2 linked regions of the Macaca fascicularis genome follow. Each later gene encodes a partner of the first gene's protein in a complex. Links are inferred from orthologs where the notes say so. Each region holds a gene or a part of one and is shown on either strand. Other genes may lie near its edges.

Evidence for each region.
Region 2: STRIP2 (region 1) and PDCD10 share a complex: the UniProt entries of both Homo sapiens proteins name them as parts of the core of STRIPAK complex. The link is inferred for Macaca fascicularis from reciprocal best matches to the Homo sapiens genes STRIP2 and PDCD10.

What each region holds. Positions count from the first base shown.
Region 1 is NC_088377.1:170,929,213-170,936,006, reverse strand, and holds part of STRIP2 (striatin-interacting protein 2), read right to left. Parts: intron 6,643-6,794; coding exon 6,579-6,642; intron 5,549-6,578; coding exon 5,477-5,548; intron 2,893-5,476; coding exon 2,818-2,892; intron 1,814-2,817; coding exon 1,716-1,813; intron 1,246-1,715; coding exon 1,119-1,245; intron 1-1,118. UniProt on the Homo sapiens protein: Plays a role in the regulation of cell morphology and cytoskeletal organization. Required in the control of cell shape. Calmodulin-binding scaffolding protein which is the center of the striatin-interacting phosphatase and kinase (STRIPAK) complexes.
Region 2 is NC_088376.1:79,122,873-79,129,766, reverse strand, and holds the start of PDCD10 (programmed cell death protein 10), read left to right. Parts: upstream 1-3,410; 5' UTR 3,411-4,037; intron 4,038-6,894. UniProt on the Homo sapiens protein: Promotes cell proliferation. Modulates apoptotic pathways. Increases mitogen-activated protein kinase activity and STK26 activity. Important for cell migration, and for normal structure and assembly of the Golgi complex.

The sequences.
Region 1 (6,794 bases):
TGCTCAGTAATTGTGTGCTAGCATATAGATTATGATATGCTCCCTGCCGATTCCTCCAGCTTCATGTGTCACCAGACCACGCCCATCTTTTCCCACCCCAGGCAGAACTCCAGCAACATTTAATAACGGTTTTTAAAGGTACTTTGCTCTCTCTTCCCCCTCTGGAGTTTTGCATATCAGCTTTTTTGCTTGAAATACCTCCTGTCCTCCTTCCCTAACAATTCCCATATCCTGGCTAACATCTGTTTTTTTAGGACTCAGGTTAGAAGTCATTTCTTCTCCATCTCAAGGTGGATTAGGTGTTTCCATAGCAACCAGTGCTTATCGGTATCAGCACACTTATCTCTCTATAATTGGCTACTTATGTATCTGTATCCTTTATAAGATTTCAAGGCCTTGAAGAGCCAGAACTGTGCCTTATTCTCAGAATTATATCTCAAATGTTGGAAAAGTGCTTCACATATAGAAAACTATGGTCAATATACCTTCCCCCCCATTTTTGTGAAATGCTTACATTCTCTCTTGCATTGTTTTAAAAACTGGCTGGGCAGGCCAGTCACGGTGGCTCACGCCTGTAATCCCAGCACTTTGGGAGGCCAAGGCGGGCGGATCACAAGGTCAGGAGATCGAGACCACGGTGAAACCCCGTCTCTACTAAAAATACAAAAAATTAGCCGGGCGCGGTTGTGGGCGCCTGTAGTCCCAGCTACTCGGGAGGCTGAGGCAGGAGAATGGCGTGAACCCGGGAGGCGGAGCTTGCAGTGAGCCGAGATCGCGCCACTGCACTCCAGCCTGGGCTGGGCGACAGAGCGAGACTCCGTCTCAAAAAAAAAAAAAAAAAAAAAACTGGCTGGGCATATTCCTGAGAAGCTAGAGATTCCTACCCACAACCCTGGGATAACTTACAAGGGACACAGACATCTGCACCTTTCTAGGACAGTTCCCACTCCATAACCCTATCCCAAACTCATGCAGTGGGTGTCTGGATTCCCTGAGGGAGAACAAAGAAAAGGCTGGAAGATGCTCATCAGAACTAAAAGGGCCCTCGCACCCTTCCTTTGAGAGATCGGGCCTGGGAAACACCCAAGACCTGTGGAGAAGTGCTCCTAGCTGCTCACCTGGTAAATATGGTTGAGTTTGAAGTGTTTGAGGAGTAGCAGAAGCAGGGTAGAGATACTCTTTACAATAATCTCCTTGTGCCTGTTCACATCGATGCCCAGCTTCATGCTCTGGAGAACAGTGATGCTACAATGGCGAGAGAAGGTATTAGCGCAGAAAGTGGCCTAAAAGGGAGCCCTGCAGGGATCCAGGTATTTGGGTGTGATATAATATACACAAGAGAACCAGAACTTGGGAAACTTGAACTTCTGTGCCAGGGAAACCTCCAGAGTTCCCACTTATGAGCCTGTCTGAAGAAATGCTCCATTGAGTTCTTTGTTTCTATCTCTCTTTTGGCAAGCTCATCCCTTGGCAATGTTCACCCAAATACCTGGGCAGCCAGTCGCTGACACTGGTGTCACCCTCCAGATCCTGAGTTTTGAGCTAAAAAGAGCAAAGCAGAAAGCCCTGAAGGGGGAAGGGAGTACTGGTGGGCAGAGAGGAGGAGATCTCTTTGGAGACAATCTCTGTAAGTGTTAACAAGGTGAGTGGGGACTAGAGAGAGCCTGCAGACAAGACAGCTAGTATCCAGCAGCTGCCCCCGTTGAAGCACTCACGGCATCTCCTCAGGTAGGACATCTGCCAGGATATTGATAGAGTCTGTCTTAGCCTTGGAGGTGGGAGCTGCAGCCAGCAGAATCTTAAGCAGAGCGATCTGGGAAGTAGAAATAAAGAAATTCACCACTGTCAAATCCACTCAGCAAGGGAGTGATTCTTCTGCACCCTAACTGCCCTATAAAAAGTGTTTTAAAGCCATTCTCCAAGTTCTTCCCTCAATGACCATATCTCCCCAGCGTCCAGAAGAGCAAACAGGTGCCCAGTCCTGAGAGGCCTGCCTGTGAGGCTAAGGAGAAAGCCAGAGGGAGTGCATTGGCTGTTCTGCTTTAAGACTGTTCTTTCCAGGGCCTGGCATGGTGGCTGATGCCTGTAATCCCAGCACTTTTGGAGGCCAAGACAGGCAGATCACTTGAGGTCGAAAGTTCAAGATCAGCCTGGCCAACATGGTAAAACCCCGTCTCTACTAAAAATACAAAAATTAGCTGGTGTGGTGGCGCATGCCTGTAATCCCAGCTATTCGGGAGGCTAAGGCAGGAGAATCACTTGAACCTGGGAGGTGGAGGTTGCAGTGGGCCGAGATCGCACCACTGCACTCCAGTCTGGGCGACAGAGTGAGACTCCACTTAAAAAAAAAAAAAGACTGTTCTTTTCAAAGGGGAGGATGGAAGGAACAGAGTGAGAGGGACAGTGTGTAGAAATAAGGTGGGAGGCATAAGCCCAACTTCTCCCACTCTTTTCTTTCCTCTAACCCGAACCATTGGTATCTTCCCCACTCCCAGCCTGAGGCTATCTAGTACATGACAGACCACAGCAGATCTCAGAGGGACTACAGTACTTATCTCGGAGGAGGGTGGGTCCCCAGTGTATCCTGTAGAGACCCCAACTTATTCCCCACCCTTCCCAAAGAAGGACTAGGGAGAACAGCACCATCAGAGGAGCACTGAGGAAAGCTCAGAATTTTCACGTGTCAGAGAATGCCTTGCCAAAGGCACAAAGGCTCAGAAAACAAGTTCAAGTGTTGGACAGGTCCGCTTGAAATGGTTTTTAGCTGTCTGTTCCTTGTAGCAGAGAAGGGCAGCTCTGGCCTAACCATCTCCTTACCATATACTGAGGGAGGCTGTACAGCATTCCCTGGTAGAGGATTTCACATGGCGTCTCTGGTACCACCTCTTCCCCCTATGGCAAGAAATACATGGTTTGCCAATGCCACTTTCCAGGTGACCAAAGGCTTTATTTTCTTGGTTGTGAGGGGTGACCTGAAAAGAGCACTAAGCTGGGAGTCAGATCTAGGTTTCTACCCTAGCTGTGTTAATGACTCACTGTATGACCTTGGATAAGTCACATTCCTTCTCTGAGTCCTAGTTTTCTCTTCAATAGGACCATCAGGTTGGCCTGGATGACCTCTCAGGACCTGGGAAACTGGAACAGATGCTACAGAAGCACTTCCTATAGTGTTGATCTGAGGCTGAGAACTCTAGAACATTCTGTAAGCCTGGAAGGAGAGGTAGGTGGCTCAATAGTGAGGGTTTAAAAGGAAGTTGGGTAACATATGGCCTGGTGAAATAGGAAGGAATATCAGCAAAGAAGCTTTTAAGTGGATGGAAATGATTTTCTTCCCCTCTCCATTCACCCCTACATCACTTTCTCCTTTCTGACCAGCCCCCTCATATATAACTATCTCTGTCCTATTGATGACATTAACTAAGCCTTTTATCAGAGTGAGGAGGCTGGGGCCTCAGGGACCCAATAGGCTGCTCAGGCCACTGTCATCTTTGACCAATGCAGTTTCCTTCCTCCTACAAGGTCTCTCTATTACAGGGCAAGGGTTCACTACCATGAGACCCTGAGCCAGGGAAGAATAACCAGCCTCCTTCTGTCCCACACAACTCATCTGCTGCTTAAATGGATATAAGTCCTAAATGGACATTCAGCGGAGCCTGGCAATCCTGGCATGTTTGCCTTCCTGCTCTCCAAAAGGCCGATTTCAAACCATCTTCCCTCTCCTCAAACCAACTCCTTTGCCCACCATGCCTAAACAGTTGCTGATCCTGCCTCACGCTTCATGGAGAAAACAGAAGCACTCAGACAGGCACACACTCATCTTCTCAACACTACATCTACAAAGAGTCTTATTCCTTCCTTCTTAACATGAAGGATGAACCGCCTGTGCTCGAACAAAGGCCAGTCTCCTACTTGTGCTCAGGATCCCACACCCATTTGCTTTGTTGAATGCCTCAGTCCTGCAATTATCCCCTCTTGGATCATTTATTTTAGGACAAAAAAAAATGTTCTAGTATCTCTCAGCTATAAAACATCCTCCCCTTGACCTCACATTCTCCTTCAGCTACCATCCACTTTCTCTCCTCTTCACAAAACTTTTATATCATCTACCTCCTTTTTTGACATTCCCTTCAATACATACCAATTAGGCTTTCAGTCCCACTACTTCACTTACAGTTGCTCTTATCAAGGTCATTATCTTCATGTTGCCAAATCCAATGGGCACCTTGGTTCTTACCATAATGCCACTTATTAGTAGCATTTTACCCAGCAGATCACTCCTTTTTTCTTGAAAGACTTTCTTAGCTTTTATGATATCATAATCTCCTGGATTTCCAGCCACTTCACTGTCTTTCGTACTCTTCTGGCTCCTTTCCTGACACATGCCCACCTCAACATACTGGTGTGCCCCAGGACTTTGTCCTGCCTTCCATTCTCTTCTGTCTCTACTCCCTCCCTGGGTTATCTCAGTCAGTTCTATGGCCTTTAACACTGCCTATAAGTGTTACAAACAACTTCCGAATTTATTTCTCAAAGTCAGCCCTCTCCCTAGAATTTTAGACTTGTATTTCCAATTGCCTGCAGCTCCACATGGGTATCTAATGGGCATCTAAAACTTAGTATGACCAAAACAGAACTCTTGATATTCCCCCCACATCCTGGCAAATGGTACTTATTCTTGATTCCTTTCTTTGCCTCTCTAACCACATCTAAATGCACTGCAAGTCTTGTCAGCTACATCTCCAAATCCAGGTCGGCATCATCTCTCACCTTGACTATTTCAAGGGTTTCCTAACTAATCTCCCTGGAGTGGGTCTACACTTTTCTGGTCCAATCTTTACACAGAAGCTAATGTTTTTAGAAACATAAATCAGATCATATCACTCCCCTGCTTAAAATCTCCAAAGGCTTCCTTCCCTTTGACTGTGAGTCTACTTCAAGCTCTCTACTTTTGCTTACAGGCTCTTGGCAAAGTGGCCTTAGGCCACCTCTCTGACTCTATCTGTAGGATCCCGGCCCTCGGCCCTGTGTTCTAGCCACAAGAGCCTTCTTTCACTACCTCTGACACTCTAAACCTGCTTTCCCCTTGCTAAGGCTGTTCTCTCTGTTTGGAATGCTCTTTCCTCTGATGTTCCTATGGCTGGCTCCCTGTCCCTCAGATCTTGGCTTAAATGTCACCTTCTCAGAGGTCCACCTACTGGCTGCCCAATCTTAGTAGTCTACCAATGCTTCTTTCATGTTATCCTGTTTAAATTTTCTTCATTGTATTTACCATTCTTTGATAGTTTGGTTTACTTAACTTTTTGTTTTTTATCTTTCTTCCTCAACTTCAATATATCATGAAAGTAGGGACCTTGTCTTGCCTGGAACACAGTTAGAGCCTAATATGCTGAAATGAATGCATGCACACATGCTCTGTGACAACACTGAAGACAGATTTTCTTCTACTCTTCTCCTGTGCAGGACCTCCTTGGCTCACCAAAGACATAGGGCACTTCTCCAGCTCCTCTTCATTCTTGATCTGCACATCTGCGATGGAGATATACTTGTGCTGACAAAGATAAGAAGACATCAACAAGGGCTGAGGGCCTCATTCACATGTGTACCAATCTCTTACTTAAATTCCCCAAAAGCAAGGAAATGTTCTGCTTATGCGTTTGTCACCCCACATAGACATGAACTCTTTCAAGGCAGGAGTCTTAATCACCTCCGCATTATCAGCACCAGTCAAAGTGCTTTGTGCACAGTGTTTCTGTTTATTCTGTTTCTACATTCGCGGAAGAGCAGCAAATACGTAAGCATTTATCTTCAAACAAAGTGGAAGGGGAAGCCAGAAACAGGCCCCTGCCCCTGGACCACTGCCCTAAGAGTTTTGATGCGTGTGCATGTATGCACGGAGTGATGACTCCATGCATACAATGGATATAGAGCAGGCTCCTATTCAATCCTGGGCCTTTGGAAGTCAGTGGACTTATGGAGAGAGAGAAGTGAAAGGAAAAGAAGCAAGGAATGGGAAGAGAGAGAGAAGAATGGGAAGAGGAAAAAGAAATGAGAGGAAGAAAGGAGAATTTTAAAATCTACCTGAATATGGGAAACTGAGTAAGTAAAGAGAGACCTAAGTTTTCCTAACCGGCCAGAGGACTGCAGGGGGAATACAGAAGGTCCAGAAAGAGTCTGGTATAAAAGCCCCACCCGGGCTGGGCGCGGTGGCTCACGCCTGTAATCCCAGCACTTTGGGAGGCTGAGGCGGGCAGATCACAAGGTCAGGAGATCGAGACCATCCTGGCTAACACAGTGAAACCCCGTCTCTACTAAATATACAAAAAATTAGCCGGGCGAGGTGGCGGGCGCCTGTAGTCCCAGCTACTCGGGAGGCTGAGGCAGGAGAATGGCGTGAACCCGGGAGGCAGAGCTTGCAGTGAGCCGAGATCGCGCCACTGCACTCCAGCCTGGGGGACAGAGCAAGACTCTGTCTCAAAAAAAAAAAAAAAAAAAAGCCCCACCCAGTATCCAGGAGCCTGGTAATCTGACCTGCTTTGATGGCTCCCTATCCCTGAAGACTGAGAGCCCACCCTGGTCACCTGCTTTAGGGTCTTCACACTCTCATGGATGGGCCTGGGTAATCCAACCAATGTATCTGTGTCCCTGTAAAAGGCCAGACATACCAGATCATAAGCTTCCAAAGTACAGGGAACTACTGATACCCCAATATCCCCCTAGAGTCACACGGACCATGCTACTTTCAACAACATCTACCCCCAGTACCCTAGACCTTCCTCTGCAAGCTTGTAGATCCC
Region 2 (6,894 bases), on another chromosome or scaffold:
TAACCAAGGTTTTTGGCTAAAGAACAATCATCCCCTGAGCAATTTCCATTCAAGAGAGACATTCTGCACTCTGTTGCTTTTCCTTTCTCATCATATATATTCACTGATATAGCCATATACCAATAGTAAAATTAGAGAGCAGAATAAGTAATATGCTTATAACATAGGTAGCATTTTACACAGAATTATAAACTGCCATAAAACGAACGTTTTCAACACCAATCAAGAAAAATCTTCAGATTACCTGAGATTGAATGTGAATATTAACTAACATGAATCAAGAGTTCAAAGTAAAAAATAAATGCCATATACCGCCAATGATATTCTCTCATGTAAAAATATGGTCTTTTTTCAAATGATATTGAAAACCAATCTCTTTTACTGACACAGTAAAAAGGATCCAAATCTTGGAAATAGGTGAAAAAAATCAGTACTTTAATACCACAAACTCATTCATTCCTAATGAGATTCTAGCCTTTACCATGCCTCAGAGCAGAAGACCTATCAAAAGCTGAGATTCAAAGTACATCTTAATTTCAACTGTTTCGATATTTATCTTCTATCCATTTGCTTGCTTATTAACTGTTTCCCAATAAAACTCTTTCAAACAGATATTTTAATAAAGGCTCGGAAAGAATTTCATTGCTAGTATTATAATTATTACATGGGGGAAATAACCCAGAGACAGCAATTATTCAGTTTTACAAAACGAATTAGTAGTAGAGTCTGAGAAAGGATCTAAGACTGATTCAAGACAATTCACTTAATCACAAATAACAAGGGCAAACAATCTTTTCCAGGTGTCACCCTAATACCCACTTTTATTTTTTTTAACCCCAACATCATTTTCACAGGGCCATATCAGCTATGTGAATTAATAGATTCTCCAGTGCTGTAGCAAAGATAAAATCTGATCCTTACAGTGCTTAAGTTTAGCAGCTACTGTTGCTTTTTCTTTCTTCTAAGCTCTTTGCTGTTTTTGATACTTAGCTGATCTGCTAGGGATAATCAAAAAGCAGCTGTTTTTCTAAGAGCTATCTGTCTATATATTTCTATGGTATGTGAGAGTGTGGGAGGGAAGAGTATATACACTGATAAGTCACTTAGGCTTACCGGTAGTAGCACGCAGTAGGACTGAACTTTAAGCTGGGAAGAGAATTCATTTGAGCCATTTCTTTTCAAAGAGAAATCTGGCATGCATTACAAAAATAAAATGTAAAATCCCGAGAACTCAGGAGAGCACAGAAATAGGAGAAAACAAGGCAATTACTCCATTTTATTGACCCTGGTTATTAAAAAAACATAGATTAAAGTATTGAGACAGACTCTGAAATATACAACTGTCACAATGAAAGCATTTCAGAGCAAAATTTGCTGCAATATGCTACTATGATTAAAAGCCATGTAATCTGGGAACCTCTGTAACAAAATGAAAATGAACTAGGAAAATAGCTTCTTACTACTTCTCTAAAAATAAAAGGCTGTAATTTTGTCATAATTACACAAAGGTAGGTGAGACTTTCATCTTTACCCAGCATTACAACATATTTCCATCCATAGGTATTACAATTACGTTGCTTTGAATACACATATGGTTTAATACCGAGAATAAACTATTATTTTGTGACACTACATGTGTTTTAAATCTGAACCCACCATCATAACACATATTAAGGATAGTCCTTCAGCACATACTTTCTACCCAGAGAAAAGATTCCCACACAGCTTTCCATGTACTCTTGATTTTAAAATGTACACATATTATCGGACACAAATGAGAGAATAAGGAGCAGCAGTGAGGTACACCATATGTTCCCACTGTAGGCTGAATCCAGGTCTTTGTTCCAATATTCCAGAGCCACTGGAAAGAAAGCTAACTATCCATTCATTAAAATTCATTTTTACATTATTGCTGGCAAAAGTTATACTTTTGATAGATTAAGTCAGAGCCCATCCTATCCTGACTATTCCTGCCTGCATTTGCTTCTTTAATACGGATTTCTTGCAATTCTATGAAACTGCAGAATAACCACCCTGGATAACAGGTCGGTAGCAGAACAATCTGATAAACCAACATAAAGGTAGACACTGAAGAAGAACGCAAAGTTATCTTCCTAGTGAAATAGTTCAGAAGTCATTCTATATCAATAGCAAAATTTTTGCTTTTTATACGCTACGCACCTATAACATCCACCAGATAACATCCACCTCGTCCTCAATTAGCAGGGTTTTTCTCAATCTTGAGATCCCCCCAGAACAGTTTTACTGGTGTAACTCGAACCAAAAACACTAACCACGCCCTTTATACCCAGAGTCAAGCTTCTTTTTGCTTTTTTGCCCTTACAGTCCAAAAATGTAAATCTTTCACCCGAGAGGGTTTACACCGGTTTCCTAACCCAAGGCGGACTCTTTTAGCTGTATCTTGATGTAATTCCTATTGGAACACGTTTTCTCCAGGGCAATGCAGACGCCCCGAAGAAGGACCCACGCTTACCTCCCACACACCTGCAACCCCTGACGGGATGCTGGAGCTGGTGCTCGGAGGACTGTGCTCCGCTCCGCTCTCGTTCCTGCTTTCGTCTCTCCCGGGAAACTACAGTCCAGACTGCGCCTCTGGCTTCTACAGGGACCCAAGCTCCGCCTCTCCCTCCTCTAGTTGGCGAATTTGGCAGCTGTTGCTCCTCCCCCTGCTGTTTTTGCAGCTGCCCGGGCCGGAGGCAGCGGAAAGCAGCTGCCGGTGTACCTTCCCGCTCCCCGCACTTCTGCAGCTGCTCTGCCACTTCCCCTCCCCTGGGGGTCCCTCTCCCCTCCTCTGTGGCTCACACCTGGAGCGGTCTCCTGCCCCACCCAGGCGTCTCTGCTGGGAGCCCCGGCTCAGCCTATCTCTCCCCGACGCGTGGGTCTGGTTGCCCGATGTGCCCGGGGCTTAGCTGCTCCTCCGCCCTGTGCAAGTCCCCACACCAAGCCCTCCCTTCACCCGGGTGATTTCCCCGAGGCTTCCTCTCCACCCGTACGGCATACTCAGCCCGACAACCCCACGATCCCCACCACGGGCCCCTCACCCCCTTCCTTCCTCTGCTCTGTCAGCCCGCCCCCTCAATGGGTGAGGCGCCTGCGGGGCCTACCCGGCACCCTGATTGGCGCAGGTGAGGGCTTGCCCCGCCCTTCCTCTCCCTTCCGTGCACCATCTCTCTTCATCTCACCTCCTCCCGCAAAGGCAGGGAACTCTCCTAGTATTGGCTAGAAGTGTCCCCACCCATCGCCTCAGGATCTCCCGCACGGCCTGCCGGGAAGTGTAGTCTTCCGAGTGCAGGAATTCCGGACAACGTTGGCGAGCGGGACTACGAGTCCCCATAGGCCTCTGCGCGACTCCGGCTGGGCAGGATTCCGGACAACGCCTGGTTCCTCTCGGGTCCTTCCGGCGTCGCCGGAGTGAATTGATCCGGGAGTTGAAGAGGGCTGCAAAGGTGGGAAGTGAAGTCAGTGCCTCAGTTGCTGGTAAGGTGTAGCTGTTCTGTCCCAGTCCCCATAGCTCTGCACCGAGCAGAAGAGGTCTAGGGTCACGCAGGGGCCATGGCTGAGGCACTCGGGCTTGATTCTGGCAGGCGGAGCGGACGGGGCTGAGAGCGGGGCCCTACGGGCGTAAGCGAGGTTACCCTACGCGAGTGGCGTAAAGCGGGTTTGTAAATGCCGCCTGCCGGCTTGGGCCCGAACGCCTCCAGGAAGTCTCCTCTAGGTGGGGGCGGGAGGGGAAGGGCGAGGTTGGCCCCTGGTGCCCCGGGAGAGGGGAGAGGGCGGATGTGCCTGGGGTGGGGTCCTTTGAAGGTGTGGCTTCGCACGGAGAGGTGAGGCTGCTCTTTTCCCCCTGCTTTGTAAATAAGAGAAAGGGAGGAGGAAGGAAAGGGTGCTGGGCAGTCTGCTGTCGGGGGTGACTCGGGTTATGCCCTTTGAGGGAAGGGGAGCACTGGAAGAAGGAAGAGACAAATGTTGAGGTCTACGGATTCAGTTCCAGTTTAATGATGTGGCCCTCTAAGGAGGTAATTTTGCCTTAAACAGAAAGGCTTGACCCTCGTAGGTGTCATACCCAAGTATGTTTTTACTCCTTTACTGCTTTCAGAGCGCTTTCATTTTGGGATGCTGATGAGGAAACCGAGGGATTATATGACGTGCCCAAGGTCACACACGTAGGGACAGACTTTCTGAATCTAGTCCTGTTCGAGTTCAGCTTCTGGAGTAGGGACGTTGGTTGTGCTTTTTGAAAAGAGTGGAGGAAGTTGCAAAGTAAATGTATTTTATGTAGTACATCTAAGAAGCCATTGTGAGATGAAAAGTTGTTTCTTGAACTGGAGTGAAATTCCTCAATAAAGGAAAGAACCTTTTGGGAAAAAAAGGGTCAGTGTTAACTTTTACAGATTTCCCCCTCTTTTTTAGGGATGTATTAAATGATAGACTCTACTCTCACAGTTCATTTTTAAGGGTAGGTAATAGGATGGGAGAACAACAGTTAATATCCATCCTTAGAAGAACATTCTTTTCTTTTTCTACTTTAGGACTATTTTTACTCTCATTTTGTAAAACTGATACTAGTTGGATTGGAATTCTTTCACAAAACTTTAAACTTTTTTCAAATAATGTTAGGAGAGTTTAGTGTGCCCGTTACTAGAAAAGAAAGTACTTTGCATTTCTTGGAGGTAACATCGTCTTTTTTGTTTGAGATTTTACTTCTCCCCCATTTTCTTGACTTTAGGCTGTATTTGTGTGTGTGTCTGCAAATAATAGAATTAGGCTGTTACATATTTTTATTTTTCTTAGAATCATCTGTGACTTTCAATTCATTCTTACTTTACATTAAAGAATGAAAAAACAGTACACTTACATTTTATCTCTTGCAGAAAATAGTGCCCTTATGCAAATTTTATCCTCTATTATGACCAGTTATAGCTCATGACTATTATTATTGGATAGGTTTTTAATAGAATTGTAAGAGTATGTTCATTGATGCCAGAATTTCTTTGTGATAACTTTATATCCATAAAGGTTAGCATGTAATAAATCATGGCTTACTCTTAACATGTAATAAATCATAGCTTACTGTATTATGTATAAGTTGATCATCAGACTATGCTGAATTTTGAATGTACTCTGCAGTTACTATATTATCAACAATATAGTAACTTTTTAATGCAAAAATATTTTTTTGGAGTAGAGGTATTCTCTTACCTGATGGTTGAAATTAAGATGGTCTGGAAATTAATACGATTTTTAAAATAGAAAAAGTATGCTATTATAGAATGAAGTAAAATCAGGAATAATGTACCATGAGTAATGTAGTACACAGACAAGGAAGACCCAGTTAAACAAATGGAAAATTATGTGAGGATAACTGACTTTGTGCTGGATTAAGAAGGGTGCGGTGGTGTAAATAGACCATAAACTGAACATGAGTCAGTGATGGTAAAGGAAGAATATTAATGTATTTTCTAGATGACAATGTAAGTATTTGCCTTTTGTTGAAGGAGGTATGAAATAAATTCTAACCTTTGGCACATAACTCTGTCATTATCGAAAGAGGTTTTGAACTATGAGGAAATTTTGGAAATAATATAATGCATTTGTTCAGTGTATTTTAGATTTTGTTCTTGGTTCATTTCTGCCACTACTCTATGTCTGAGGCCAATTATAGTTTTGATATTTCTTCTATTGGGATGGTGGATTAATGTTTGTATTGTTTTTAATCATCTTTCAATCACATGCTGCAGTATTGTTGTCACTTTAGATCTCTGCACGTTGGATAGTTAAGAGTTCACGGAGTTATGTGTATACATGTAGTTTGCAGCTCACCAGTGTCTTCATTTATTCTCATGCTGGGCTTTGCAGGAGCCTTATATCAGCTTTTGGATGTAATTTCTTATAGGACTTGGGATGTCTTCCATATATTATACATCTGTCTCTTTCTCTTAAGGATGTAAGGTCTGTAAGAATAGGGGCTGTTTATTATTGTAGTCTCAGTAGGTAAGGTAATATTTACGAAGAGAATGAAGAAGCTCAGGTTGGTTAAGTGACTTGTAACTGGTGGGAGTAAGATAAAAATCGAGATCTTCTGACTACAGATCTTTAATATTGTGGAGTAAAGACTTAGTTCCCTTAGATTTACATGAGAAAAAGACAATGTGACTTAAATATTCAAATACTATTACTTTCTTACTCTGTTTAACACTAAAAATTTATCTCTTCTCCTATCCAACTCTCCGTCCTTATCCCCAGCCTTTCTCATTTACCATGCCTTTTGGTTACTACATACATAAGCTCCTTCCTGACTTGGTGGCCATTGCATATTCCATCTCACTCCTTGGCCTACCTAAATGTGGCTACCTGATAGTCAGTTTTCATATCTCAATTTAAATATTCTTTCTTGGGGGAGCCTTGCCCTCCTTCCCAAAACCAGAATAGGTTCCCGCCATGTATTCACCATACTCTGTACTCCTTTGTGGCATTATGATAATAGAAACTTAATTATTTCTGTATTTATTTGACAAATATTGTCTCCTCACTGGACTATGAGCTTCCTGAGCAGGGCCCTCTCATTTGTCATGTGTTACCCTACCCCACTACTTACGTAGTACCTGGCACAATATAAGGGTTCAGTAAATATTTGCTGAATGAATGAAGGAGTGTATTCATGCACAATGCTTCCGGCACTTCTCTGGGGACAGAAATAGAGAAATGAATAAACCAGATATGCTTTCTGGATTGAAGTATATAAGAACTTTCAAATGAGCCATAATGCTTAGGCAATTTAGGTTATATGCAAAGGAGTCATTGACAGAATTTTAATATAAATTGTAGAAAAATGTTTGTTCTTTTTGGAGGTCTCTGAAATCAGGTTTAATTTTC